Oryzias latipes: one gene and its partners. The protein of the gene in region 1 binds, or shares a complex with, the protein of each later gene. Links are inferred from orthologs where the notes say so. Each region holds a gene or a part of one and is shown in the gene's direction. Other genes may lie near its edges.

Region 1 (3,757 bases):
GAGGACCGAGAGTCGGAGGCGCTGGCACAGCAGGCCAGCAAAGCCTGATGGGAAACAGAATGTGTCCAACAGCTGCCTTTTTTTTTTTGCTTTATCATCTTCAGGGTTGAAGAGAACATTTGATTTTTTGTTTACTCATCAAAGTGCGATGCCTTCTGCTTTCTGTTTGTTAATAAAGTTGTTACAATTTGAATCAACGCCTGGCAGATTCAAAAGCTATTTTCCCATCAAAACTTAAACTTCCTGGAGAGGGAAAGCACTGATTAACATCATCATTTATGTCTTTAATACACTGAATGTGTTTTGTCAAATTGTGCTGTTTTCTTCCAAATAATCAGCAAATATATAATTATTAATTCTTACATTTTATTTTTTGTCAGGACAGCTTTCCATGAGCACATCACCATGGTAACTTGCTAACAACATCCTACTGAGGATGAATGAAGCTGTTTTTCTTTTTTCTTTAAAATTGCTTGTAAAAGTAAAAATCATAGTTTATCAAATTTATCATAGTTTCAAAATGTTCCCATAACCTCTTAAAGTTAAGGTAGCTCAGGTCATGTTAGTGAGGAAATATGAAGTAATGGATGCTAACATCCTCTTGAATGGCTGGCTGTTCTCTTTGGTAGATTTTGGGTTGAATCTCAGCCATTTGTTTTTTTAGTGAGTGCGAATTTATGAGATTTCCATTTTTCTGAGGGTCTAGCATGAATTCCTATAAACCTTTGCTTCATAAAAAACGTTTTTGATGTCTTTATTGATAGCAGGAAACGTGGATTGTATCTCCTTTCTATGCAAACAAAAGCAGCCGCCTCAAAGTTTTGTTTCTCTAAAGTTATTTTCAGCGGCTCTTTTCAGTGTCACTGTGATGATTTAAAGTTTGAAAAATGTTTTGGGAATTTTTCACAATCTTCCTTTGTAAAGGAAAAAGTAAAACAAACTGTCGCATTTTTTAAATGTATGTTTGATTTTATTTTTGCTTTTGATCATTACAGCTCAGATGTTCAACCAAAAAAAAATAAAACTAATCAGCTGTGCTTTTGCACAAATAAAAATCTATTAATACAATGAGTTTTTTAAGGTTTTCTATATATATATATATATATATATATATATATATATATATATATATATATATATATATATATATATATATATATATATATATAAAATATATCACACACTTCATGTGCATGTATTTTTATAGTTGTTTTGGTCATTTTCTAACTGCAAATAGTATTATTTGCCTTTGGCTGATCCCTTTTTAAACCAGATTACTCCTCCCAGCCGCACGAGGGCGCAGCACAGCAAAGGTCACAGGGTTTTACTTCCGGTCTCCCGGTCCACACGCGTTTCCTACGCGGTTTTGTGAATTGAAACACGACTTTGTTTCGTTAAAATACAGACACCATGAGCAAAGCGCATCCACCAGAGCTAAAGAAGTAAGTTTGCAAGTTTTTGAAAGATGATAGGCCTGATAGCTTCGGTCTTTTTCGCGAGATTGTAGTATGTTTCCATGTTAGCCACCGTTAGCCGGAACAGCTAGGAATTGAAGCTAAATCTAAATAATGTTTTTGTCTTTCAGATTCATGGACAAAAAGCTTTCCCGTGAGTTAAAACTCTCGTTTCATTATTTAATACATATTTCAAAATTACACTATATTTCTATTCATTCGCCGGCTTTTTCTTGTGAAATTAAATTCGCTTTTAGCTAAGCTAGCAGCCTTCATGTTCATCAGTTTGCTCTTTTTGTTTTCTTCAGTGAAGCTGAATGGAGGCAGACACGTCCAGGGCATCCTGCGAGGGTTCGACCCCTTCATGAACCTGGTGATGGACGACTGTCTGGAGATGGGCCCCGGGGGACAGCAGAACACCATCGGGATGGTGGTCAGTGTCCGAGCAGAACTGTGAAGCATGAGGGAATAGTTTAATTCAATGTTTTACCCCACCCGTAATAGCAGGACGAATAGGTTCAATTAAAGATCATACTCTTTATTTATTTTTATCTTTATTAGCAATTCCATCTTTTGACAATTTGAACCAATTTGAGTGCTGTCTACATAGATTTATAAAAACATGCACAACTGTTTTCCTAACAAACCAGACAATCCTATAAAGAAATATGAACCAATAAAATATGTTAGGGGTCTGCTAGTTAGTAACAAAAATGTAAATGTTCTAAAAATCATCTTTTTGATAAAGAAAATTTTCTACCTCACAAATACACTTTTTTTGTTTTAATTACTTTTTTTTTAACTCCTTTTAATTCACTACATTTTGAATAAAGAAATACGCAGAAAAGCAATTTTAAGCATATTTTTTTTAAATATATGTCCTCATCAGAAAAATGCCACAAGAACATGTCAAAGTAAATAAATTAAAGCAATCCCAGTTGGTCATTTAGTGGTTTTGATCATTTCCGGCAACTAATTTTTAATTTTTTCTACAAAAACAAATTTTGTTTCGAAGTTTATTCAAAATTCTTTAGTCAAAGAACCTATTCTATCCACTTTCTCTTGTAAATATAACATTATATTGATAAGACAGACTTCCTCGTTTGTTTTCCAGGCATCTGTATTCTAGTTGCTACTGGTTTTCTAGATCGGGAAGCTGCAGATTCTGCTTGATGAAATCCACCTGATCCACGTGACTAGCTGCAAATAAAGCAGGGTTACTGGAAAACATTTCCACATTTTTATGTGTAGCCAAAAGTTCATTACTACTTAAAATAAATACATCCAGACCAACAGGGGAGCCTCAATGCCTACTGAAAATCTCTCTTAAATATATTATACTGCCCCCCCCCCCCCCCCCCCCCCCCCCCAATACTCCAGCTTTTCCAAAGATGTCTAATTAGTTTATCTGAAACAAAACTGACCTGTCTTTACGGAAGAACAAATAACAATTGCCTGTTCCAGTGAATATCTGTGAAACCAAACGTTGGCAGGTTCGTGGTTTTTCCTGATGTGACAGCCTCAGGAAAGGGTTTAGTAGTTTTTCCCAAACTAGAACATTTCTCTTATTCAACACACAATTGTGTAAAAATAAATGTGTAAACGTGAAAAGATCTGATCTGTTTTCCTTTTGTCTTCCCGAAGGTCATCCGAGGAAACAGCATCATCATGTTGGAGGCTTTGGAGCGAGTATGAGCAGAGCACAGCGGCGCCTCCTGTTTTCTCATTCCATTGTAGTTCATTCACAATGAAAGTCTGTTGGTTTTGAGATGTTTGTTTGTTAATAAACTATTTTTCTTTTTATCCGTGCATTTGTTTGGTTTTACGAAATGTTACTGTATGTGTTCTTTCCTGTAGATGCAGCAAGAATTTAGTGTTTTTGTAATGGAGGATGAGCTGCTAAACAAAAAAAGAATATCTTAAATGTTAGGGTTAGTCTTATCTTAAGGAATTCGAAAGCTTTTTTTATAGCTTAGCTGTTAAAAAGCTATAATGGCTAAACAATGTTGGGAATGCTGGTGATGAAGACATAAATGCTGAACTATTTTAATAATTTGATAGACCTAAAGTCAGCTGAATATTTAAGATATGCGTAATTTCCATTCATGAGCTGGCAAACTTGTTATAAACTAGCAGGCAAGTATTTGTTCATAAAATATTAAAAAGTTGGATTCAGTTTGTTTATTCTTGAGCTCTATCAAGTTTAAAAGTTTCCACGTTGAAAGGAAAAAAATTTAAGGTATTTTAAAATTAAAAACATTAGCTGCTTGACACTAAAACAAAGGGTTACCAATTTTTCTAAA
Region 2 (3,948 bases), on another chromosome or scaffold:
GGACATGTTTGGGGGTTTTTCAGCATTTTCACGTTTGGACTGATGGTGAATGTTGTGGTGGCATTTGTTCTCCACACTGTTTGATTAAATCCTCCCTCCACAAATACCTTCTTTTTTCTTTTTTTTTAAATACAACAATTTGCACTTTCTTTAGGTTTCACTTGATACATTCCCAGCTTGTCTCAATAAATAAAAAGTATTGCTGTTTGGCCAAAACTCTAAATGAAATATCAATGCAAAGTTTACTCTCAATAAAAAGATCTGAAAGTTTGCTCCTTTGTTCTTTTTGTCTTCTTTCCTAGATCAATGGTTCCCAGCTTTTTGTGTATTTTGTAAGGATGTAAAGGATACAGTTACGTATTGAAAATTGATCAAGTACTGGAAGTAACAGCTCTATCAATCGATAACCTTAAATACGAGCAAGTTGGTGAAAAGGTAAAAAAATGAAATCAATCAGGAAGTAAATCGTTATTTTTTTTTCTTTTCTGTCTTTACTGTCTTTGCCTTTTTATGTACATGTGATGCCAACATGAAGACACCCAATCACAAAGCCTACTTCTACCAAATCGGGTCAATTATGATTGGCTGAATGTGAACCACAGTGTGCTGTGTTCTCTTTTTTCACGGTACTGCAAACAATGCCTGAATAAATTCCTATGACAATTTTTTGATCATAAATAAAAACAGAACAGTATTCGTAGTTGAAGCAGTTCTCTCAGAGATGTTTTGTTTTTGTTGCTTCAAAAAAAGGGCCAATAAGAACAAAATTTAAGAAAAAAGTTTCTCTGTTAAATGGCATTTCCATTAATAATTTTAAATGCCAAATACATAAATAGAAATCTATGAATAAATGACTGGTACTTTATTTTTTAGCACCATACAATGGCATCAGGGTGCCAAAGGGCTTACATTAACATAACATTTAAAATTGAGTAGATTGAGAGGGGAAAAAAACAGCATTAGATGGAAAAAACAATAAAACACATAGAAAAACAGTTAATAATTAAAGTAATTGGTAAGTAATTAAATAAAGACAGTAAAGGAATATTAGATGCCACCAACCCAATGAGTAAGAGAAAACAACTCATTTTTGTCTTTCCACTGACTGTTCTTCATCTCACCACCAGGCGGCGGTAAGACAACATTGACGGTGAGCGGTGGCCTCTTTCTGACGTCATATCAACGCGACACAAACGTTGGTGGTACATCAGCGGCCTGTGATTTCACTCGATCGCTGTAATTTTTCTCGTCGGTGGAGGATCTTTTCTCTACTGTTCGTCATGAAACTAGTCAGGTAATTTGCTGCATGGTCTGTAGATGTGTCGACTGGTTTAAGATAGGATGATGAAATAAAGGCTGTGTGGCCGGATGGGTTCAGATAGACAAATGAACTGTGTGGAGAGGCGGGAACAAGGCTGCTGGGTTTTCATTCAAAAAATACATATAAACATATCATTAGAGCTAACTATTTAATCAAGGATTAAACTGCTTGTTTTAGCAATATTTGTAAAAGATCGAGGCTGATTCGTTATCATTTATGGTTTTGCAAATTTCCCCCCGCATTATTAAAACTATCGTACTAAAGGAGGTTAATTTATTAGATGTTGTTTCCGTTTCCTCAAAGTGCTTTATCATTATTTAATTGTATTTATTTTTGGATGTTTTTAATTTCCACAACTTAAGAGACAAATGTTTTGTTTTCAGTTTACACAACAGTATCAATCCACCGAAGCTAACAAGCTAAGAGCTAACACGAGTTTTGTTTAGATACTAAAAAAAAAATACATTCAAAAAGGGGGGGGGGGGTATTTTGTACAATTTTATACGTTAAATCTTATGTGTTGTACAAAAATGCTGTCTAATGTTTGTGAGAGAGAGACGTCTTCTTTGTGCAAAGCAGTAAGTTGGCTAATTGATCATTCAAGATGGATCTAGTCATTAAAGTCTTCTACAGCAATGGTGCCAACCTTCTAATAAAGCGGTTTTTTATTGTATTTAATTTATCAAAATATTTTTATGATTAACAGAAAACGTTACCAACAATTATTTCTAACAAAAAGTCCGCATAAATGTTCATACAAAACATTAAAAAATGTGAATCTGAAAATGGAGTTTAAAGTCTTCCATTTTATCCAGTATGTATGGGATCAAATGCAGTTTTTGTATGAAATGGTGCATATCACAGTATGTTTATTTCCCTCGTTTTTTTTATGTTTGACATTTTGTTTATTTCATTTGTATTTTGTGAATATGAACAGACATAAAAATGATGCTTTTAATTTGTTAAAGTCCACCAATCAATTATTGATTAACATTTTCCTGTTCTAGTTCTGCTTAAAGGTCAGCATGTTATTAGTGTATTTTTTTTCATGGTATTGTCACTTTAAAACATTGACGTTTAAATGAAAGTGCCTTTTGGATTCAGAAAACCAAAATGAATGTGCCAATTCTAGGTTTTTGAAAAATACACTTTTGAGTAAGAATAAAACACGTGAACCTTTTTTGTTTCATGTGGGATGACAATAAATCATGTTTTTTTTTTTTTTGCGAAAATGATTCTTTCCCTGAAGTGTAGATACATTATACTGGTACTGCTTTTTGATTACAAAATGGTATGTTTGGTAAAGTATAGTGCAGTAAAACAACTCTTAAAGGTTAAGTAAATGTAAATGTATGCTACTCTCCCGTGTCCACACAGGTTTTTGATGAAGCTCAGTCATGAGACCGTTACCATTGAACTGAAGAATGGCACTCAGGTCCATGGCACCATCACAGGTGAGAGCAAACACTTTAGAGACGAATAAATGAACTAAATCATTTTTAAAATCCTCTTCTTCTTCTTTTTAATAGGTGTTGATGTAAGCATGAACACACACTTGAAGGCGGTGAAAATGACCCTAAAGAACAGGGAACCCACTCAGCTGGAGTCCCTGAGTATCCGAGGCAACAACATTCGCTACTTCATCCTGCCAGACAGTCTTCCACTGGACACCTTGCTGGTCGACATTGAACCAAAGATCAAGTCCAAGAAGAGAGAAGCAGGTGGGAGATTTGGGCACATTCTTACCTGGAAAATTGTATTAAGTTGAGAAGGATTTTTCTGCGATAAGAAATCCCTCAACAGTATTTATATTCATCATGGGTGTGTAAATCTGCTGTTTATTTCTTTGAGAAATGTTTTGTTCTGCTGATTAAAACTTTTTTTTTTCACGAGTATGGTGAAAGAATCTGGCCTTTCTTGTTCTCAGTTGCTGGTAGGGGGCGAGGCAGAGGACGGGGCCGTGGCAGAGGAAGAGGACGAGGGCGAGGTGGACCACGGAGATGATTTCAGAGCCCCAACTGTTTGTACAGCTTTTAATTGTACTGCGCGGTGGACGCAAAGTGAATCTAAGTGTAAGTTTAGGGTTGTTTTTCTTTTTTATACTCGTGGGTTGTTTAAGACCGCGAGGGGGTTTTGGATGCTGTTGATTCATAATTTGTACCATCTTGAATAAAATGTCTGAGCAGCATTTAAACTGGGTAAAAATGTCATCTGTTTTTTGCTTTTTTTATACCTTCTTGTGTCTTTGGCAAAGTTGGCTGAAAATGTAGCTGTTCTACTGGCATCAAAGAAGAATAAATCTTTTTTTTTCTCTTTGTAATATTTGGCTCTTTAATTGGCTTGATTAGTTTTCACTTTTCCTATAAGTGATTGAAATAGGTTGATAAGGTTTTTTTTCACAGTTTCTGGAACTGATTACATCTCAACTTATTGTTGATGATGTTCCAGATACTGCTGATCCACCTCTGGTGGATGGTGTGGATGTTGATGACTGCAAATGTAAAAACCTTTTGTCCAATACTTAGATGGGCTGGCTCTTAACCCACATAAGTTTCCAATAAAATAAAGAAAATCCACTTTGAATTTTGACATCATTGTAAAAACTTATGTTTGTTATTGAAGATCTC
Region 3 (3,166 bases), on another chromosome or scaffold:
TTCAGGCTGAGACTGGCGGCGAGTTTCTGCCGTTACAGGCTGAGAATGGCGGCGAGTTTCTGCCGTTTCAGGCTGAGACTGGCGGCGAGTTTCTGCCGTTTCAGGCTGAGACTGGCGGCGAGTTTCTGCCGTTTCAGGCTGAGAATGGCGGCGAGTTTCTGCCGTTTCAGGCTGAGACTGGCGGCGAGTTTCTGCCGTTTCAGGCTGAGACTGGCGGCGAGTTTCTGCTGTTTTAGGCTGAGACTGGCGGCGAGTTTCTGCCGTTTCAGGCTGAGACTGGCGGCGAGTTTCTGCCGTTTCAGGCTGAGAATGGCGGCGAGTTTCAGGCTGAGACTGGCGGCGAGTTTCTGCCGTTTCAGGCTGAGACTGGCGGCGAGTTTCTGCCGTTTCAGGCTGAGAATGGCGGCGAGTTTCTGCCGTTTCAGGCTGAGAATGGCGGCGAGTTTCTGCCGTTTCAGGCTGAGACTGGCGGCGAGTTTCTGCCGTTTCAGGCTGAGACTGGCGGCGAGTTTCTGCCGTTTCAGGCTGAGAATGGCGGCGAGTTTCAGGCTGAGACTGGCGGCGAGTTTCTGCCGTTTCAGGCTGAGACTGGCGGCGAGTTTCTGCCGTTTCAGGCTGAGACTGGCGGCGAGTTTCTGCCGTTTCAGGCTGAGAATGGCGGCGAGTTTCAGGCTGAGACTGGCGGCGAGTTTCTGCCGTTTCAGGCTGAGACTGGCGGCGAGTTTCTGCCGTTTCAGGCTGAGAATGGCGGCGAGTTTCTGCCGTTTCAGGCTGAGAATGCCGGCGAGTTTCTGCCGTTTCAGGCTGAGAATGGCGGCGAGTTTCTGCCGTTTGTCCTGAAAGCAGCTGAGCTGCACCGACCCTGAAACTGATCTTTATCTCCAACAGCACAAGCTGTCTCCACACACCGACCTCAGCTGGAAGCCGGATGGGAAAGTCGTTGCCATCGGTAACGAGGATGGGTGAGTTGTTTTCACACGTGAACCCTTAGAAACGCCAACCAGACTTTTTGATCTAATGGTTAAAACATCTGAAGCAGAGATGAGGAGCGGTGGAGCTTTGAGGTTTTCTGTCAGGTTGCATCACAAAGTAAACATGTCAAAAGTTGCTTGTTTTCCTGGAAACTGGCCTCTTTCACCGGTCTTTTCATCTCTTTCATCAGGTGCATTGATGTTTTCCAAGCCCCCAACCTGAAGCAACTGTGCAGCGTCCAGCAGCACCACAAGATCATCAACTCGCTGCGGTGGCATCACCAGCACGGCTCCGCCTCAGAGCTGCACACGCTCCTGGCCTCGGGCTCCAGCAACGCCATCGTCTACGTGCACGACCTCCGCTCCGTGATAGGTGGGGACCTTACGTTCACAACAATAGTCACATGACAACACAAGCGTCCAATAAACGGCTCCAACCTGCTCTGAATCCTCCCAGTTACCCCACTGTCAGAGAGGATATGACCGTTTCTGGGATCCCTTCAGAATTCTCATCTTCTTCACCTTCATCCCATTTTGTTGTTTGGTTTCCTTTGGATCAGTTTATCAAACATCAACTGTCGTTCAGGACGAATACTTGCAGTTTGGATGTAGATTTAATATTTCCAGTTTTGAAACTTAGGTCTACAACTTTACACGAAGACGGATGGATGGATGGATAAATGAATCGTCAGATGGATGAATAGGTGGATAGCTGGATGGTTGGATGGATAGATGGCAGTAATTCCTTATGGAACCCACATCTTTACGAGTCTTCCTGGTCTTCAGAGAACCCTCCAGAGACTCCTGTGGTCCTGACGGAGCCGTACCGGCGGTTGTGCGGTCACACAGCCAAGATCACCGGGATGGCGTGGAGTCCACATCACAGCGCTCGGCTGGTCACGGCCTCGTATGACGGCACGGCACAGGTCTGCTGCTCCACACAGGTGAAGCCAAAATGCTGTTCTGAGGTCTGATGGGCGGGTCTCGTTTCAGGTGTGGGACGTCCTGGAGGAGGCGCCCATCTCTAACTACCGGGGTCACGTGGGGTATCTGCTGAGCGTGGACTGGTCCCCCGTTGATCCAGACGTGATCTGGACCGGAGGAAAAGACTTCACCGTGCAGGAGTGGAAGGTCTCCCAACAGGAGTTCACAAAGCCACCTAAAGGTGACGATGAGGCTCTGAGGGGGGATCCAGCCAGGTCCTCCTGCTCACGACTGACATGTTCTCCTCCCAGGGAGGAAGATGAGCACGCTGCAGGAGAAGAAGAAGTCCGGCTCCAAGCAGAAGAAGAAGAGCAAGAGCGCGCCGGGGCTCGGAGGAGATGTGGTGCCAAAGATGAACGGCGACGGAGAGAAGGATCTGTCTGAGGAGGAGGAGGAGGAGGTCGGCTCCACGAGCAGCATGCATCCTCCAGGAGGTGAATGCGTCTGAGGCCTGAAGGATTCATGTCAAATCGCATTTTTCTAATCATTTTTTCCTTTTTTTAGCATCTTTGGAGAAGAAATCCTCATCTGTCTCCAGAAGTAAAGAGAAGCCACCAGGTTTGTGTCTGATTCTTGTTCAAACGGCTTTTTCTTTGGGTTCTGAACATGTCCCTTGCTGGCTCCGCAGCAGATTTGAGCCTCCTGAAGAAGAAGAAGCCTCGCTCCATGCTGCCCCTCAGCACGTCCATGGACCACCGGCCCAGGGAGGAGCTGCTGCAGGACTGCGTCACTCTGGCCGCCGTCAGACACGCCTCAGGTGAGAGAAAACTGGCAGATGGTCTCCAAATGCAAAATAAAAATGTCAGAAAACTTAAACGAGCTTAAGTCTTCAGTTCGACCCTTTTTTCACAAAGCAGGGCTGATTGTGTGTTTTCAGCGCCACCTGCTGGCTGCAGCCCGGGACATGGCGACCATGTCCACCTGGGCCTGTTTGCAGACCGGCGGGCTCTGCGCCTCATGCTGGAGGCAGAAGGTTTGTTGGTTCTCCCTTCCTGGCTTTGGGCGTTTCAGCGTAACGTTCAACTTCCTGTCGACCCTCAGAGGAAGGTCACGTGCAGGCGGGGCACTTCGACTCGGTGGTGTACCTGCGGCTGTGGAGCGGAGACCTGCAGGGGGCGCTGCAGCTGGCAACGGAGAAAGGAGAGCTGAACGACCACCTGCTGTCCGTCGCTGCGATGGGTAAAGAGCGGGAAGATGCCGGTTGAAGTGTC
Region 4 (4,218 bases), on another chromosome or scaffold:
CGCTGATGGTAAAAGAAGAGGACAGATTACAGGTTTTAGATCATCTCCTCACCCTCGACGTGCAGGTTGAGCTCCATGTTGGCGAAAAGCGGGTTCACAGTCAAAGAACAAATGTAGCTTCCTTCGCTGCTCATCTTGGTGAAGGGGAGAGTGTAGGAGGCATCTCCCCCAGCCAGGGCCTTCTTCCCAACTCCAGAGCCATGAATCTCCCCGGAGCGGCTGTTGTAGCGGAAGAGCATCCTTCTCTCTCCGCGGGACTGCCAGTGCCACTCCACGGTGACGTTTGGGCCTCGGTGGTCGATGCTGAACTGACAGTGGAGTTTGGGCTGCGAGCGTAGTCTGACTTTCACAGATGGAGTCTCTGTTTTCAGCAACATGGCGACTATGGACACAAATAGGATGAACCCTCTTACAGGCCTTCGTTCTGACATGCAGAAGCAGCGTCAGATGAAGGGGACACCTACCTGTGGTGGTAAGAACCTCTCGGTCGGCGATGGGCGGCCAGCTGCGGTAGTCCTGCTGTCCTGGAGGAGGTTGGTCAGACGGATGTCTGAGGAAAGCAGTGACGCTGAACTTGTCCTTTCTGTGTCTGAGGATGCAGGTGTACCAGCGGTTGTACCCCTCTGCCCCCAGGGCGGGCCAGCGGACATGGATGCCCTCTGTGCTGTACCGTCGGACCTCACACTCCAACTCCTCTACCTCCACCCCTTCAATGGACCGCTGCAGGTCCAGTTTTGAAACTAAAGCAACATAAAAAGTCATGAATGTAATTCTTTCCTGCCCCGATTCGTGTCTTGGACAGAAGCTCACCAGTGATCAGGAAGGTGATGGCGTGGGGATTGACAGGAGCGTCTCCTTTTAGACCAAACTGAACCATAGCCTCTCTGGGAATGAGCTGTGTCTCAATGTGTCCTTCACTGTTGTTGGACACATGTTCGTCAGTGAACTGACATGACAGCCATGGTATCTGCTGAACGCTCCTCACAACTGAGAACACAGAAAAACTAACATTAAACACACCCTTCATTTAAATTTAGTTCCTTTCATGAACTAACTGATAGAACAGCTGCAAACATACTTTAAAATAACTTACCTCCAATCACATAAAAGTAAATAACAACTTTCTGAAATACTCCCATTTTGATTATTCAATTGAATTTCTTGGTTCACCTTGTTTCTACCAGCAGCCAGGATCTAAAAAGTACTTTCATTTTCACTTCTGCAGAAAAAAAACGATTTGCCTTTAGCTCGCGTCACATGACCTACAAGATTAAAACCATAACAAAAAAAAAACATTTTTATATATATTCATAAACACAATAACAAATGAAATGACGTTTAAATCTGATGTAAAATATTTAAATCTCGCTCCGAAGAAAAACGTTAAAACTGCAGTACCGAATTTATCCGGGTGCGTCGCTGTGAACAAACATCCGGTATATGCGTCGCATGGCGGAAGCGTGTTTGCGGCTGCGCAGTTCTGCTGTGGATGTTTTTAGTTGGATTATGTTGTTTCAGAAATCTAACTTTAAACTTCGGAAACCGTGAACGTAACGGCGCGTTTAGAGAGTTTCCAGGTAAACGGATTACACTGGTATTTACCTGCACGCAACAATTATCACGGTGATAATGGACAAAGGTAAAATAGCTTTTATTTTTACTCTCTCTGTAGACCAGTTAAGTCACTGACTTTAAGTTAAAATAAATTCTTACAAAAGAAAATATTATTTAATAAAGAAAAGCAATGTTTTTTAATTTAAATTGTTTTTCCAACACACGACGCATTCATACCGATTTACACACGCGGTGAACCGCTTTGAATTGTGGGAAACTGAGTTTGGTGTGGTAAAATGAATGACATATGGATCCCCTGAAGGGATTTGGCAAAAGGTGAATAACAACAAGATCTACACTGATCCTGACATAAAGACGAACGCACACAAACACTCACACATTAAACACAATAAAAACTATATGGCTCTGTCCATGAAAACTGAGTTATTTATTGGAGATCATATCTGAAAGTTGAGAAGAAGCTTTGGTGTTTTTATCTGTGGATACGGTGGCCCTGAAGTTCAAATCACATCCACAAATTACTGTTTTAAAACATCACACAGCAGTCCTGGAATGCAAAAACAAAATTGTTTTTGCAATTCTTGTTTCTTACTGCATATTTGAATGAAAACTTGACACCCCACCCCACCCCCCGCTTTAATTTTGTTTAGATTTATCAAATGTAACGTTTTCTTGTTATTTTATTGCTTTTGTTGTTGTTATCTTTAAGATGTCTTTACATTGATATGATGATGTGATTGGCACTTCAGGGCTCTGATTATGTCATGTGATTTCAGGCTCTGCGGTTCTGCAGGGGGCTTTCCTGCTGGCAGACAAACTGTGTCGCCCCTCATTTCTATCCTGCGTGAACAAATCCGACTGGATCGCGGCGGGACGCCCGATCCTACAGGCTCTGCAGGAAGTCTGTGAACTGGAGGAAGCTGACGGTCATCACAGCTCGACCTGGACGAAGAAGGTGGTCTGTGCTGTGTGGCTGAAGCTCTTGAGCGCTGAGGAGGATGTTGAGAGAGCGTGGAGGGAGAACCCCTTTTTTTCCTTCCAGCAGAGCCTCCCTGAAGTTAACCATGTTGTCCTGTTGGAGTTGGTGAAGAACGCTGCTGCTTCACATGTTTACGCAGGTTTTCTCCTTCATCTTCCTGAAGATTTGATCTGCTTGGAGCTGAAGAGGCTGGTAGAGCATGTGAAGAGCGAGCCTACAAGCGAAGAGGATGTTCATTTCTTTCTAGAGATGTGGCGGGAGCTGTGGAAAGGCCAAGAGCAAGCCAAGCTCAGAAACGACGAGAGCATGGAGATGATGTTTGCCAAGCAGGTTGCTCGTCTCACCTCCATGTCTTCTAGTTTGTCTCCTCAGGCTGCCAAGAGGTTAAAGCTGGAGACACAAGACTCAGCAGAGGCTGATGTTTTCCACATTCTCCTCAATGCCCTCAAAGACATGGCAGATCACGTCTCCTCATTAGACCTGTGCTTCCAGTCTCTCTCCATGTCCCTTGATGCTCTTTTTACATCATTTCTGATAGACCGAGAAGTTGTTCTATCAGCTCAGGAGAAGATGGACATCCTGTGTAAAGCCATCAGTACTAAAGGAAAGAATGAAAAACTTCAACCTGAACTTGTTGAAGAAGCTCAGAGACATTTACGGGCTTCGATTTCCCCGTCTCAGTTCAAAGTCAGGAGGATGGATCTGGGTGAAGCTCTGAGGGTCATAGCAGAACTTAGTCAGTCTTGGAAAGACCGAGGACTCTTGGACGTCCAGGACGGCTCTCGCTCCTCCTACTCTGCTTTCCAGCTGGAGCAAAGTGTCCAGAGAGTCTCCACTGCTCTGGAAGAAGCTCCCACAGCAGCGACAGAGAAGAACCTGCTCGTGGCTGTGCTGAAGTCTCTGGTTCTTCCTGTCACAGAGAGCAGCCCTGAGGTGCATGCTCAGGTGCTCTCCACCATCATCACTCACCGCCTGGAAGACCACGAGAGCTTCGCTGCCTTGTTTGCCAGAGAGCCGCCCTGGACGCACTGTGATGAAGGCTGGATGGATTGCCTGGAGAGGAGCCAAGCTTCCTTCCGTCAGCATGACGCCGTGATCGGCCTCTCCTCTACTCTAATGAACAAACTACGCATGGAGAATGCAGACGTCAGCCAGTGCAGAAAGCTGATGAAAATCATAGCAGATATCTTCTCCAGCCTTTCCTTAGAAGACATGAACAAAGCCTTGGTGTCCATGTTAAGATTGTCTAGGAAGGGCTTCTTCGAATTCCCCGTTCCTCCTGAGGTGGCTGGAGGGTTTGAGCAGGAGCTCAACATGGCCTTCAACTGCATCATCCAAGCAGGAAGTGGAGCGTCCTCAGCTGTTCCTCAAGGGAACCTGACCACGGCCGTCTCACTCGTAGCCAGAGTGGCTTTTCAGAACCCAGAAGGCGCCTTACGGTCCTGCTGCCACTCAGCTGTTTTCAATAAAGGAGCATTTTCGATGATGGCAAAGATCCTGCAGCATCTGCCTGGACTCAGCGGTCAGAGAGGAGGAGATGGAGATGGAAGGAGGAGCGGAGAGGAGAACACGGCTAAAGACGGGACCTCTAGTCTGCTCTGCAGGTGCCTACACCAGACGGTCAAGGACAAGTCCCTGTCAGCCAACGAGAAGGAACAGTTTGC
Region 5 (4,028 bases), on another chromosome or scaffold:
CAGAACATAGCTGGCTCTTCCAGCATAGCAATCATTCCAAACACACTAAAAATGAAGCTTTTTTTTTTTAACAAAAAGTTGGTAAAATGTCTGCAAACAGGTGCAGAATTCTAATTGAAAGGCACAGAAAACAAAATATGAAGTTTAAGTTACCAATACTTTGTCCAGTCATTTCACTAGTTAATTATTGTACAAAAATTCCAGAGTTATGCCTGATTTTCATTAAATTATTTATAAATTGATTAATACTTTTGTCATTTCTCAGACATTTCTTAAAACATTGGAGGGGAGGGACAAGTTTGGTGCAATCCAAATATTGTTCAGTATTAAGGGGAAAAGGGGCAAATCATGTTCTCTCTTCTCCCTTTCATTTAAGAGTGTATTTTTGAGCCTAAGAGGTGTTTTAGATTTGTATTTTCACAATTATGTATTGATATATCTTTGGAAAAGAATAAAATAAACTCATCAAACTTAAACAGCAAACACTGAACAAATATAAACCAGTGTTTCTGTAGTTGAAGTTAAAGCCAAAGGCAGCAAAGAGTCCAACGGCACAAATCCAGAGAAACATCCTTTTAAAGAGGAAGGCATATTATCTGAGAAGAACATCTCAAAACCTAAGGATGAAGACTCATCAGGTCTAAAATGGAAAAAGACAGGAATTTTACATCTGTTACAAGTGTTTCAATTATGTTTAATAGAATCTACGTATCAAGACTGTTAAATAAAGTTAAAAATAATGTGTTCAATTTGGAATAAACTATATTTAAAAATCATGTTGTGATGTTAATGTTCACTTTGAGTGGAGAAATTAAGCTACAGGAAGACACTGAACCTGATGCACATTGCCCCATGGTGGCCACGTAAAATGTTTTGCAAACCCTAATCGCACATTTCTACAGTAATTCTACCGGTTACTTCAAAAGAAGAGACAAGATGACTCCTCGTAAACACTTCCTTGTTTACACCAGTGCTCAAAGGTTTTATATGTTTTTCATTTTAAATGTGAGTGTTGGTTTGCTGAAATCAGTAATAGACATTTTTGGCTGTAATGCTTTAGAATTCAACCATGTACCCTGGAATATCACCACAGCATTTTGAAAAAGAAAGGTGTAACAAAGCATTTTTGTGCTAATTCTTTCTCCTTTGGTACAATATAGTAATTTCTTTACGATAAATATCAGATTACATTTGAAATGAGTAATGCATTTTCCAATTCTTTTTAAACGCACCAACAGAATCGTATTCTTGACGCATGCGCAACAGCAATTTCAATCCGGAAGTGACGTTCTATGGTATCCTCTTTCCGCTAGCCGTGTAGTGGAATCGTGAGTATTTTTTCCAAGTCAAAGACGTTTTTTTACAGATGTTTTTTTGTTAAAACGGTATAAATATGATAAATGTAGCCATACATCTCGTTTGATTAGTGTGCAGTGAATCTTAAAACAAATAAGTTTTCTAAAGAGCCCAAAATGAGTTTTTTGTCTTGTCTGAGTGTTAGCATAATCAAATTTGGTGGCTAGTAATACCCTTTATAAGTATTAAAGTCTGTTTAATCGATAAATGTATGTATATGTTTTGTTATATACAACTGATGTTACCTTGTTTGTTCTGCGTTTAAAGTACAGTAGCTAACTGAAAATAACTGTACTCATGTTTGACAAATACCGTGTTGTTGTTGAAGCAGGTTAGGGATGACTACCGCAGCAAGACCAACGTTTGAGCCGGCGAGAGGAGGGAGAGGAAAAGGAGAAGGCGATCTGAGTGCCTTGTCCAAGCAATATTCCAGCCGAGATCTTCCAGGTCACACCAAGATCAAATACAGGTGGTTTTTAGTTCCTATTAAACTCTGCTGCGACAGCTCAGTTGAAAAAGAAAGCGATTGTTTGAAAGAAACATATTTAATCATGTTAAGATTCTCGAAGATTCAATCTGAATTATTTGGGAAATGGTCAAACCGGATTGATTAAATTAGTCTTTTTGTGCTATAATTATTAAAAAGTGGAACATAAATCTACACTTGATTAAATGTCTACATGTATAATGTGTTGGGTACAATTAAGCTAACCTCACGTTGGAGCATCACATGAATCAGTTTATGACATGGGGGGGGGGGGGGGCATGTGTGCATTTTCTTGTCTATTTAGTGTCTCTCCATGACCCTTAAGAAAATGTTAAATAATTTGCTCACAAATATCTTGCATCTAATAAGTCATTGCTCAGTATTAAAATGGTTATCAACTAAATTGTATAACCATAAAGCTTTTGTACATTTGGAGTACATCATTTAGTATTGATAATTCTTGATGGTTTGTTTGCTGCAGGTTATGTTTAAATTGTAGCTACAGTGTGTAGGAGGGGTGGTTTGCATTTACCAATTGTGCAAGTTCTACAAAAAATATTTTTACAATTTTCGCTATATATTTTTTTTTAATATGCATTCAATCTCTCACAGTTGTAGTGTATATGATGGAATCATAGACCTCTCATCTTTTTAAATTAGACAATTTGCTAAATATGTTACTGAGAAATACTTTTTCCCCCAACTGTACATGTTACTATTTATCTCATGAGTGGTTTTTGGAGTTTGTAGTGGGACTTAGTCTTGAAAATGCTATGATCCCTTAGACAGCCCACTCAGGATGCCCCCGAGGAGGTGCGTGCCCGTGATTTCCGTAGGGAACTGGAGGAGAAGGAGCGTGTAGCAGCACGTGAGAAGACCAGAGAGAGGGGACCAAGAGGTTAGTCTCTATCAAAATTTTAGACTTACTGTTTTTGACACACAAGTATAAACCAAGCAAAGTATGTATTTTTCTGTAAATGCAGTCTTTACATTTTTTTCTCTCCAGAACACACTACATCCTCTTCATCATCTTCATCATCATCAAAGAGGCCCAGGTTGGATCAGATTCCAGCTGCTAACCTTGATGCTGATGACCCTCTCACTGATGTAAGTGTCTGCACTGATATAATAAAGAAAACATTTCATCAGTACACCTACGGCTGGGAGATGAGACCTTTTCTCGCTGTTGCACTTGACATGATCTGAATAGATATTGATATTTTAGTGCTATAAAACTTTCTCTTTAAAGACTGTAAATATTAAAATTAGCAATAAAATGCCTGGATTGACTTAATTGGGGAAAAATCACTGTAAAGTTGACTTTTAACAAACAATTTCTTTTGTACAACTTCTCTGCTTTGGACACATTAAACTTGAAACATCCCAGATGGTTCATTTGTGGTTAATTTTAGCTGATCAGACCACCTAAAAGAACAATTGTGGGTAAACTTAAAACTTAGTTTTTTCATTCAAGAAAAAAAATGTACACAAAATTTAAAAAGTGTGGCAAACAAACTTGATTTAAATATGACCGTTGTTCCTCCTCTGGAAAAATTGAGCAGACTGGGGCTCTCCAAATGCCAGGCTGGTGTATTTAAAGGCTAAACTCCCTGCATTGCCTCTTATGGTCGGTCCCACAGTACAGCTCCTGAAGCTGAACCTCATCCACATCTACAGCTACCAGCAACACATCCAGCACTGGTACCTCCAACAAGGTGGCATTAGTTAAACTGATAACTGTAGCTGACTTAAAAGTGTCCAAGTGTGCACACTACAAATAAAGACTGATGTACTCTCTTGTAAATGTCTTTTATTGAGAATACGTCTGAAAATGTCAACTTATTTAAAAGTCATTAAACAGTGGAAAAGAACGTCAGCAGTGCATGGGGGCTGTCACCATTCTGCCATAGTTGTGCTGCATGAGGCCATTGCAGCCTTAATCCTCTCTAAAATCCTTCCTCTTCACAGGATGACGAGGATGAGAACTCTGATGAAGATAGTGATGATGACGACACTGCAGCTCTGTTGGCTGAGCTTGAGAAGATAAAGAAGGAGCGAGCCGAAGAGCAAGAACGCAAAGTAAAACATTTGATCCATTTTGTTTTGGTACCTCTGTGTTTACAGTCAGCAGCATGACTTTGTTCAAACACAATGTTTTAATAATCAAGGAAAAATATGATTCTTG
Region 6 (3,983 bases), on another chromosome or scaffold:
ATGCAAAAAGAAAGAAAGAAGGGAAAGCTAAAATGACTAACTTTTATTTTGATAATTAGAAATGAGTTTTAGAAGTTGATTATGTTCTCAGGAGATTGATTTCATGATAATGTATAACTGCAATTAGACAAATTACACAAAAGTCAATATTTCACTCACCAAAATCTCCCAGTCATCAGATGACAGTGGCTCCACAAACACCTGATTCAGCGAAGAGACTTGATGGCATGGTCTGAGAAAACACTGTGAAAACCACTCAATGTCAGACCAATGTTAAGAGACTGTTGCACAGGCAGTGTTCGTCCCAGTTGATGACCTAAAGGAAGAAACCAAGGTCTTTACCTGTTCTCCATCAGTCAAACCGAGCTTTTCTCCAAGCTGCCGAGACAACTCCACTCTGTGGCTGTCTGCTCCTAAGGAGGCTCTGATGGGACACCAGCTAAGGAACACTGTCGACCCGCCGTCCCAAGACAGCTCCAAAGCCTGATTCTAAAACGGACCGGCCAAAGAGAGACGATGAAATAAGACACAGAATGGTCTCTTAAAGCGGATGTCGAAATTATGATTCCAACTTTATGAATGTTAGATACTTGTGATACCTTTATTAGTTTTTATTCTTGTACATTTTGTATCATTACATACATTTCAGATTTTATGCTCAGCAGAAGAATTAAATTAAAAAATTGCAAAAATATTCCACAGGTGTGGTAGCAAAATATAGAAATATTGAGATGATCACATTAGTTATTATAATAATCAACCTTTTCTAAATTAAACTATTTCTAGGAGTTAATGTGTTAAAAATCAAAACAATGCAGTTTCCTTTAGACTAAAGACCCCTGAATGAGGACAGTATTTGATGCCCAATTTCTATTTTTACCAACAATTCATTTTTTGTTGCCTTGCATTACTTCCTAATACTAATTAAGTACACGTGATAATAAAAAAATGCTCTGCTTTTGTTATAAGTTTTAATTAAGAAAAACTAAAACCTTAAATGCAACCAAAGGTCCCCTTGTAATGTCAGAGAAACAAACCAGCAATGTGTAAAACACAAAAGCAGTCATTATTCAGTAAACTTTATGCAACAAAACTGAAGCGATGTTAAGTAATTAGCTAATACTTTACCTCATTCAGAGAAAGGTGCGATATCAGCTTTGAAGAGAGTTGAATAAAGCAGTTTTTAGTGTTGTTAAAAACAACACATACTGGTTGAATTCCCTGGTTGCTAAACATGACGTTTACATCGCTATTTTAGCATTTAAAGTGCTTAACATGCTGGTGCGCTAACGGCCAAAGTGCAACAAACATTTCGATGAATGAGAGAACTGATCCAGACAAAACAGTCGATTGTCGATGGAATCGATCATTTCAAAATAAGACTGCCACGTCGTCAACACTACACGTTGAGTGCTCTGCACAACGGAATGAACTCTTGTTTTGAAATGCCACCAAAGCGGAAACGCGTTTCAGCAAACATGGCGGCAAATGTCAACAGTAAACCTGGTTGTTGGAAGGTCCCAGAAGTCTACAAACATCACGAACAACACAACGCATGTTTTTCTAGACCCAAATATAGAGATGGAAGGAGAGCTAAAGCAGTCAAGGTAAGAAAAACGTTTCTAATGTTTGTAGCAAAGACGGTCTGTGTTGACGCAAGCGACGAGCTAATAATTATGTGTAAGTTGGTTTTATTTTTACATTTAAGAATGTAAGAGAAAATTTTAAAATCTTTTTTTTTAACTGGAAGAAAAAAGTATAAATTGTAGTCACACAGCAAGTGATAAATAAAAGACCAACGGCAGGTCTTAAAAAAACAAATAAAACTGTCGTTTTGGCAAAAATAAATAAATAAAATTAAATAAAAGACATGGTAAAAAGTTTGAGTCATTTCGAAAAAATTGTAATTAATAAACCATAAAAATCAAATTTCTAATACAGTAGACTGGATTTCTGAGTTGCAGGAAAGTACATCAGATCTGATGATTATGTCTTTAAGTTAATTGATTTTTATTGGTCACGTCAACAGCCTCACATATACTAATAACCATGCCTTTGTATCTGCCAGGTCTACACAATAAATTTAGAGTCCCGTTATGTGATGATCCAGGGAGTCCCCGCTATTGGAGTGATGGAGGAGCTGATCCAGTTGTGTGCTCTTTATGGAACAGTGGAGGAATACAGACCGCTGGACGAGTATCCTGCTGAGGAGTTCACAGAAGTCTACCTGGTCAAGTTTCAAAAACTGACAAGTGCTAGGTATGGCGGGCACCTTAACTGTACTGCCCTAAACCAGAAATGCTGAAAAATATGTCATTCAGGTTGATATTTGATGTTCCAGAGCGGCGAAACGTAACATGGATGAGAAGAGTTTCTATGGCGGCGTGCTGCATGTGTGTTACGTCCCGGAGTACGAGTCTGTGGAAGACACCAAGTTAAAGCTGCAGGACAGGAGAAGTTATGTTCTGAAAGTGGCTCGGAGTAGAGGTATTATCGCATTTTGACGATATACGGTGTTGAAAAGCACTGAATCTTTTTTTTCTTAGGTAATTGTTTTTTAAAAGTTCAATGAAAAAAAACTGTGATTAAAAAATTTTTTTTGTGTATTTTTATCTGAAATCAAATGTTTTTTGTTGTTTTGTAAGTTTAAAGTATAGATAAAGAATTTGATGAGTGTCATTTATCTGTTTCATGTTTATACAGCAAAAGAAAGAGTAGCGGATGCGGTACACATGGAATCTACGTCTTCAGAAAGCGTTCCCACATCAAGCAGAGTTTTTGCTACAAATAATCCAATCTTCAATAGTGACAAAACAGGCGAGACTTCAAGCTTCAGCCATTGTTCCGGATTTCCTCTACTGCCTTTACCCCCGCAGGAATACTTTCATCAGGATTATCGTGGGAACGAACCAACAGAAGATCAAATGGGGACTTTACATGACGCAGTGCCTCCTGACGTAAAACAGCAGAAAGTCCAGAACTTTAGCTCTTTCAGTAAAGACCCTAATTCCGAAAAAAAATTGGCCTCCAACCCAGATTCTTCCGTCAAGCTTGTTCCAAGAACTGCACATTTGGAAAAGAACAAACGCCGCAAAATGGAGGAGGCCACAAAACAGCCAGTGCCTGATTCTGGAGAACCGTCTTTGATTGGACCAAAACTACCAGAACCACATAAGCTGGACATGAATGATCAGTCGCTAAACACAACAGTAAATCTGATCAGGGGCACAATGAAGCAGGTAGTCTTTTATTTTTTTTTTAATGAGAATTAGAGCTTGACATGATGCCATATTGGTGCATTTCAGTCTCATTCTTTTCATTCATTCCTAGGTGACATCGGTCCCAGACCTCAAACCAGCGGAGAAGAAGGTTAAGCCACGCCGTCGGATATGATCCATTCTGTTTTAGTGACGACTGTCCATATTTATCAAAACTAACGTTGAAAGGCTCAACTTAAAATAAAATTGTACTTTAAGAAAAACATTTTGGCTTTTTCTTTCATGAAAGTCTCAAAGTTGAACACCGCTTGCACTTCATATTTTATTATTCATCTTGCTGCTTTTCCAGTACTTGCTGCTCAAACTTCTTCTTTGTCTAAAAAGAAAGATTTAAGTTAAATAGATCCTTACAATATTTTTAAGCTCAGCAACTTTTGGTTGTGATTACCCTGAAATTGGGCAGGCAGCTTCCAAAGGCTTCAAGGAGTAGCTCCTCCTTTTTTACAGACTTCTCAAAATCTTGAAAAGACAGCCTGCCGTCTTTGTCGTGGTCCTGTGGAATCACAGGAAGCAATGTTGGCATGTTACCAAAATAAATCTGCACACATCAAGACAAAATTCTTACAATCAACATCGATCCAAATGTGACAAAGGCAGATGGGAGGGCAACATCTCACCATTTTTTTGAGGACAATTTCCATCAGTTCGTTGATCTCATCCTGTTCATCTTGATAGTCGTCTTCTCTGCCTTCCTCTTCAAGCCGC
Region 7 (4,011 bases), on another chromosome or scaffold:
TTAAATTTTATATATATATATATATAGATATATAGGGAGCTGGTTTAGCTCGTGCTGGTTTGCGGCGCCTTCCGTCCGTGAAACCAGGGTTCGACTCCGGGCTGCTCCCTGTTCCCTTCTCTACTTCTGTGCCGGTCCCAAGCCCGGTTGCTTTGAGAAGGTTGCGTCAGGAAGGGCATCCGGCGTAAAACATTGCCAAGTTTACCATGCGACTCGTTCGCTGTGGCGACCCCTGATGGGAAAAGCCAAAAGGGAAACCAACCCTATCTATCTATCTATCTATCTATCTATCTATCTATCTATCTATCTATCTATCTATCTATCTATCTATCTATCTATCTATCTATCTATCTATCTATCTATCTATCTATCTATCTATCTATCTATCTATCTATCTATCTATCTATCTATCTATCTATCTATCTATCTATCTATCTATCTATCTATCTATCTATCTATCTATCTATCTATCTATCTATCTATCTATCTATCTATCTATCTATCTATCTATCTATCTATCTATCTATCTTCTGAAGATGAGACCCACCAACTCACACATTGATTCTCGCACTGTTTTCCCAACAATCTATATGTCATAAACACTTCTCAGCTTACTTACTTAGCCATTGCCTCCTTGGTAACCGCCTCGCACCATGATTCCTCTGTAGCAAACGTGAAATCTACCTGGCGTTGATACAGAGTGTGAGTGCCTGTATGGTGAGATGTCATCCACAGTTTTGGCATCTTCTCCAGCTCCAGGCTCAAATGAAACATTTACAAAACTAAAATCATTTTCTTACATTAAAGCTCGGTAATGCAAGCCTTTCAAATAAACAGCAGAATGTGAGAGTTCGTCAGCACATGTTGTCAGCAGCCTGGAGCTGATGACAACAATTCTATAATTCCATTGGGTTTTATATTATCTGATTATAAATCATTTTTAATTTCACTTATTTATTTATTTTTTGACATTTGGTCTTGTCTCATTGTTATAAAATAGTTTATTTATGTTTTTTTTCATAGTTTGTTTATTTTTTGTTGTTTACTAATTGTGTGAATGATGTTGTGTCATTTTGTAAACTGATTTTATTTATGATTATTTTATTATGACTTTATAAAGCAGATGCACTGGAATGTGATCAGAATATAGTCCGAGTCTTTTTGTTGCACTAATACATCCAGAACGCCAGGGGGCGACGTGAGGCGCGGCGAAAAGCTCGATGCCACTTCCGTTTCCTGTCGGCGGCAAAGCGTGCTTCTAGTTTGTGAAGCTAAAACGTTTTTGTGACGAAGACATAATAAACTTCTAATTTACTGTTAATCGGGTCTAAACTTAATCGAGCAAAATGGTGAGTAACTCTTCAAATATGTAATTTCACACGGCCTTTGGGTTTATTGAAGTTTGTTAAAACAAAGAATTTAAGAGAGTTAGCTCGTTTATGCTAGCCATGTTAGCATCCCATTCATAACTGGTTTACACAGCTCGTAGGGGAAAACAAACTTACACTAAAAACAAAACTTTAAAAATGAAACGGTTAGATATTCAAGTGAGCTTTTACTAAAGTGTTGTTTGTTTTGGGTAACGTGTTGCCGTATCAGAAAATGAACGTCCGTCGGAACAACACAAAACTATGACGTTCCTCTGCAGGTAGTAGTGTGGTCGAACATTATACAACAGATTAATAGAAGTATATAGGTCATTTGAATAATTAAACTGCTCCAAAACCGAATTTATGTACTGTTTCCCAATTATTCAATTTATTTTTTTAATGCAGTCCAGATTGGTTCTTCAGTCGCTCCTGTTGATGATTGGTGGTGTAAAGAAATCAGACGTGGAGACTGTCCATAACATGAATAACCCGCATACTTAAAGTTCTAAATATCTCATAGGGAAAAGCGTCATGTTTGCAGACTTGATGTAAGGTTTCAATCCCCTCTGCCGCAGAGTTTGCCCCTCAACCCAAAGCCTTTCCTGAACGGCCTGACAGGGAAACCAGTGATGGTGAAGCTGAAGTGGGGAATGGAGTACAAAGGCTACCTGGTGTCTGTGGACGGATACATGAACATGCAGGTAAAAGCAACTCTAGCTTCATTCACAACTATATCAGGGTTTATTCTGGGATTTTAAAATGCAGCTGCAACACAGAGGCAAACTACTCAAAAGTAAATGCAATTATTTATTCAATCTATTTTAAATTAGTCAAGAGTGTTTTTATCGTACTCAGTTTGTTATTATTATACATGTTTCTAAATGACCAACAGTGTTTTCAGTCTTCTATTCTGAGCATTAACTTAGACGACTGTTGGTGGAAAACCAATTAGCAGCTTTTCTTGTACCAGTTTACAATTTTTTTCAAAAATTCTAACTATCCTATCATATAACATTTTAATAAAAAAAAGTCGTTTAAAAAAAGGTCAAATGGCTCCTGTCGCATAGTGACAGCCTCTGCAAAGATGACGGAGGCTTTTTTGAGTTTGCTAAACGATCCTGTTCAGCAATTATTGATCAGGAACTTTCCGCTTCATCCAAGAGTCAAAAACAAACTCAATACAGTTTCTAAATGAAAACACTTCTGGTTTTTCACAATAAGATTATTCTGGGCACAAATAACAAAACATTTCTCTGAACCAATGAAGTCATTCAAACCAAATCATAAATGTTGTCTCACATTGTTATTTAAACAGTAAATAAGTCAAAACAACTCTAAACACTTATTTTTTTTAAGTATTTATCTGTGATGCTCATTTTTTGATCAGGGTTATCCGTAGTAATCACAACTAAAAATGTTCCAAATTTAGCTTTTTTGTCCTTCACTGAGCAATTAAGTCTGTAAGTCAGTCGCTGCAGCGGCCTGATACTGCATGAAAGTTGGCTAGCATTTCTAAATCTGGAACAACTTTTCTTACCAAAACATATCAAACCATTTTGTTCTATTGTTTAGATAGCAGCACATGTAGAATAAAAGAAATCTGTTTAAAAAATTGAGATTTCAGACCCTTAAAGCTCTCACACCAAACCGGTGTTGCTTCTCCATATTTTACATAATTCTTTGTATATTTAGATTTCATGAAATTTGACCTTTGCTAAGAAACTCTTGTTGTTTAGATGAAGGTTGTTGTTTAACTTTGTCATCTTTTATTATGAGATTTTAAAAGAAATACATTTGTTGTGTTTTACTCAGAGGAAATTACCATAAACATTTTACTTGTTTAGTTTGTAGAAAAAAAGTGATAAACGGCAGGAAAAGTACATGATTGTTGCAGAAATCCTCAGATGGAATGGGTTTTTACCAAACTGTGACACGCCACCATAACAGTAACATCTTTTCTTACGCTTTTCTAAGCTCTTCAGAAAAAAGTCTTATATCTGGACTTGTTTTTAAAATGTTTAATTTCCTGAAATTCCAAAGTAGATTCTTTGTCGAGTGAATTTTCTCAGGTTAAATATTAGTTAAAAAATGACAGAAAAATATAAGTATTTAGATGAAAACTTGGGTGCTGGAATTAAAGGTTAATCTTTTAACATTTGTAGAAAAGAACAGAAAATTTGCATTTGGTTATTTGGGAAACAGCAAAGAAATCCATAAGATCTTTTTTTTTTTTAATATTCTTGTGGCATCTTTCTCATGATGGAGAACACGTATGAAGAATGAATCAGGAGCAGAAGACAAAATGCCTTTTGATTAAGATCGTATTTGTGACGTTGAAAATATGGTGGGCGGGCAACAAGCTCCCTGCTCCGAGGGAAAGGGGGGCGGGGTTGCTCTGTACCAACAGTTTCGCCACAACAACAAACTGGGTAATCATAATTAGAACCACTGGGAAGGCTTTGACACTAGATCTTAAGATGATCAGAGCTGATCTTTAAACTAAACGTTATGAGTAGTTTACTGTTTAATCCAGCAGAGGGCGCCACAGAATGAACGTAAAATCTAACAAATCTTTAATTTGGTAGAAAAATGAAGAGAAGGTTTGAGGTTTTGACTTTTCTGTATGATGTCTGACAGCTGG

The links.
Region 2: snrpg (region 1) and snrpd1 share a complex: the UniProt entries of both Homo sapiens proteins name them as parts of the SMN-Sm complex. The link is inferred for Oryzias latipes from reciprocal best matches to the Homo sapiens genes SNRPG and SNRPD1.
Region 3: snrpg (region 1) and gemin5 share a complex: the UniProt entries of both Homo sapiens proteins name them as parts of the SMN-Sm complex. The link is inferred for Oryzias latipes from reciprocal best matches to the Homo sapiens genes SNRPG and GEMIN5.
Region 4: snrpg (region 1) and gemin4 share a complex: the UniProt entries of both Homo sapiens proteins name them as parts of the SMN-Sm complex. The link is inferred for Oryzias latipes from reciprocal best matches to the Homo sapiens genes SNRPG and GEMIN4.
Region 5: snrpg (region 1) and cwc15 share a complex: the UniProt entries of both Homo sapiens proteins name them as parts of the minor spliceosome. The link is inferred for Oryzias latipes from reciprocal best matches to the Homo sapiens genes SNRPG and CWC15.
Region 6: snrpg (region 1) and rbm48 share a complex: the UniProt entries of both Homo sapiens proteins name them as parts of the minor spliceosome. The link is inferred for Oryzias latipes from reciprocal best matches to the Homo sapiens genes SNRPG and RBM48.
Region 7: snrpg (region 1) and snrpf share a complex: the UniProt entries of both Homo sapiens proteins name them as parts of the U7 snRNP complex. The link is inferred for Oryzias latipes from reciprocal best matches to the Homo sapiens genes SNRPG and SNRPF.

What each region holds. Positions count from the first base shown.
Region 1 is NC_019865.2:4,866,768-4,870,524, reverse strand, and holds snrpg (small nuclear ribonucleoprotein G), read left to right. Parts: upstream 1-1,296; 5' UTR 1,297-1,410; coding exon 1,411-1,442; intron 1,443-1,585; coding exon 1,586-1,608; intron 1,609-1,762; coding exon 1,763-1,887; intron 1,888-3,098; coding exon 3,099-3,149; 3' UTR 3,150-3,257; downstream 3,258-3,757. Other genes in the region: zinc finger protein Xfin, read left to right, coding at 1-48. UniProt on the Homo sapiens protein: Plays a role in pre-mRNA splicing as a core component of the spliceosomal U1, U2, U4 and U5 small nuclear ribonucleoproteins (snRNPs), the building blocks of the spliceosome.
Region 2 is NC_019869.2:22,965,507-22,969,454, reverse strand, and holds snrpd1 (small nuclear ribonucleoprotein Sm D1), read left to right. Parts: upstream 1-1,148; 5' UTR 1,149-1,280; coding exon 1,281-1,294; intron 1,295-2,698; coding exon 2,699-2,775; intron 2,776-2,850; coding exon 2,851-3,042; intron 3,043-3,248; coding exon 3,249-3,325; 3' UTR 3,326-3,897; downstream 3,898-3,948. UniProt on the Homo sapiens protein: Plays a role in pre-mRNA splicing as a core component of the spliceosomal U1, U2, U4 and U5 small nuclear ribonucleoproteins (snRNPs), the building blocks of the spliceosome.
Region 3 is NC_019872.2:29,392,423-29,395,588, reverse strand, and holds part of gemin5 (gem-associated protein 5), read left to right. Parts: intron 1-888; coding exon 889-962; intron 963-1,162; coding exon 1,163-1,344; intron 1,345-1,757; coding exon 1,758-1,897; intron 1,898-1,964; coding exon 1,965-2,136; intron 2,137-2,206; coding exon 2,207-2,389; intron 2,390-2,459; coding exon 2,460-2,513; intron 2,514-2,583; coding exon 2,584-2,712; intron 2,713-2,832; coding exon 2,833-2,928; intron 2,929-2,996; coding exon 2,997-3,134; intron 3,135-3,166. UniProt on the Homo sapiens protein: The SMN complex catalyzes the assembly of small nuclear ribonucleoproteins (snRNPs), the building blocks of the spliceosome, and thereby plays an important role in the splicing of cellular pre-mRNAs.
Region 4 is NC_019871.2:19,886,961-19,891,178, forward strand, and holds the start of gemin4 (gem-associated protein 4), read left to right. Parts: upstream 1-1,418; 5' UTR 1,419-1,489; coding exon 1,490-1,577; exon of another isoform or gene 1,578-1,629; coding exon of another isoform or gene 1,630-1,639; intron 1,640-2,351; coding exon 2,352-4,218. Other genes in the region: tapasin-related protein, read right to left, coding at 53-382, 465-740, 811-987, 1,094-1,139. UniProt on the Homo sapiens protein: The SMN complex catalyzes the assembly of small nuclear ribonucleoproteins (snRNPs), the building blocks of the spliceosome, and thereby plays an important role in the splicing of cellular pre-mRNAs.
Region 5 is NC_019872.2:16,000,765-16,004,792, reverse strand, and holds the start of cwc15 (spliceosome-associated protein CWC15 homolog), read left to right. Parts: upstream 1-1,228; 5' UTR 1,229-1,328; intron 1,329-1,684; exon of another isoform or gene 1,685-1,687; 5' UTR 1,688-1,694; coding exon 1,695-1,825; intron 1,826-2,628; coding exon 2,629-2,741; intron 2,742-2,849; coding exon 2,850-2,950; intron 2,951-3,811; coding exon 3,812-3,922; intron 3,923-4,028. UniProt on the Homo sapiens protein: Involved in pre-mRNA splicing as component of the spliceosome. Component of the PRP19-CDC5L complex that forms an integral part of the spliceosome and is required for activating pre-mRNA splicing.
Region 6 is NC_019869.2:21,761,586-21,765,568, forward strand, and holds rbm48 (RNA-binding protein 48), read left to right. Parts: upstream 1-1,430; 5' UTR 1,431-1,445; coding exon 1,446-1,607; intron 1,608-2,068; coding exon 2,069-2,259; intron 2,260-2,341; coding exon 2,342-2,487; intron 2,488-2,703; coding exon 2,704-3,239; intron 3,240-3,245; exon of another isoform or gene 3,246-3,330; coding exon 3,331-3,393; 3' UTR 3,394-3,483; downstream 3,484-3,983. Other genes in the region: pex1 (peroxisome biogenesis factor 1), read right to left, coding at 160-243, 343-489, 1,129-1,236; efcab1 (EF-hand calcium-binding domain-containing protein 1), read right to left, coding at 3,544-3,594, 3,667-3,771, 3,896-3,983. UniProt on the Homo sapiens protein: As a component of the minor spliceosome, involved in the splicing of U12-type introns in pre-mRNAs.
Region 7 is NC_019881.2:20,375,325-20,379,335, reverse strand, and holds the start of snrpf (small nuclear ribonucleoprotein F), read left to right. Parts: upstream 1-1,211; 5' UTR 1,212-1,346; coding exon 1,347-1,349; intron 1,350-1,945; coding exon 1,946-2,071; intron 2,072-4,007; coding exon 4,008-4,011. UniProt on the Homo sapiens protein: Plays a role in pre-mRNA splicing as a core component of the spliceosomal U1, U2, U4 and U5 small nuclear ribonucleoproteins (snRNPs), the building blocks of the spliceosome.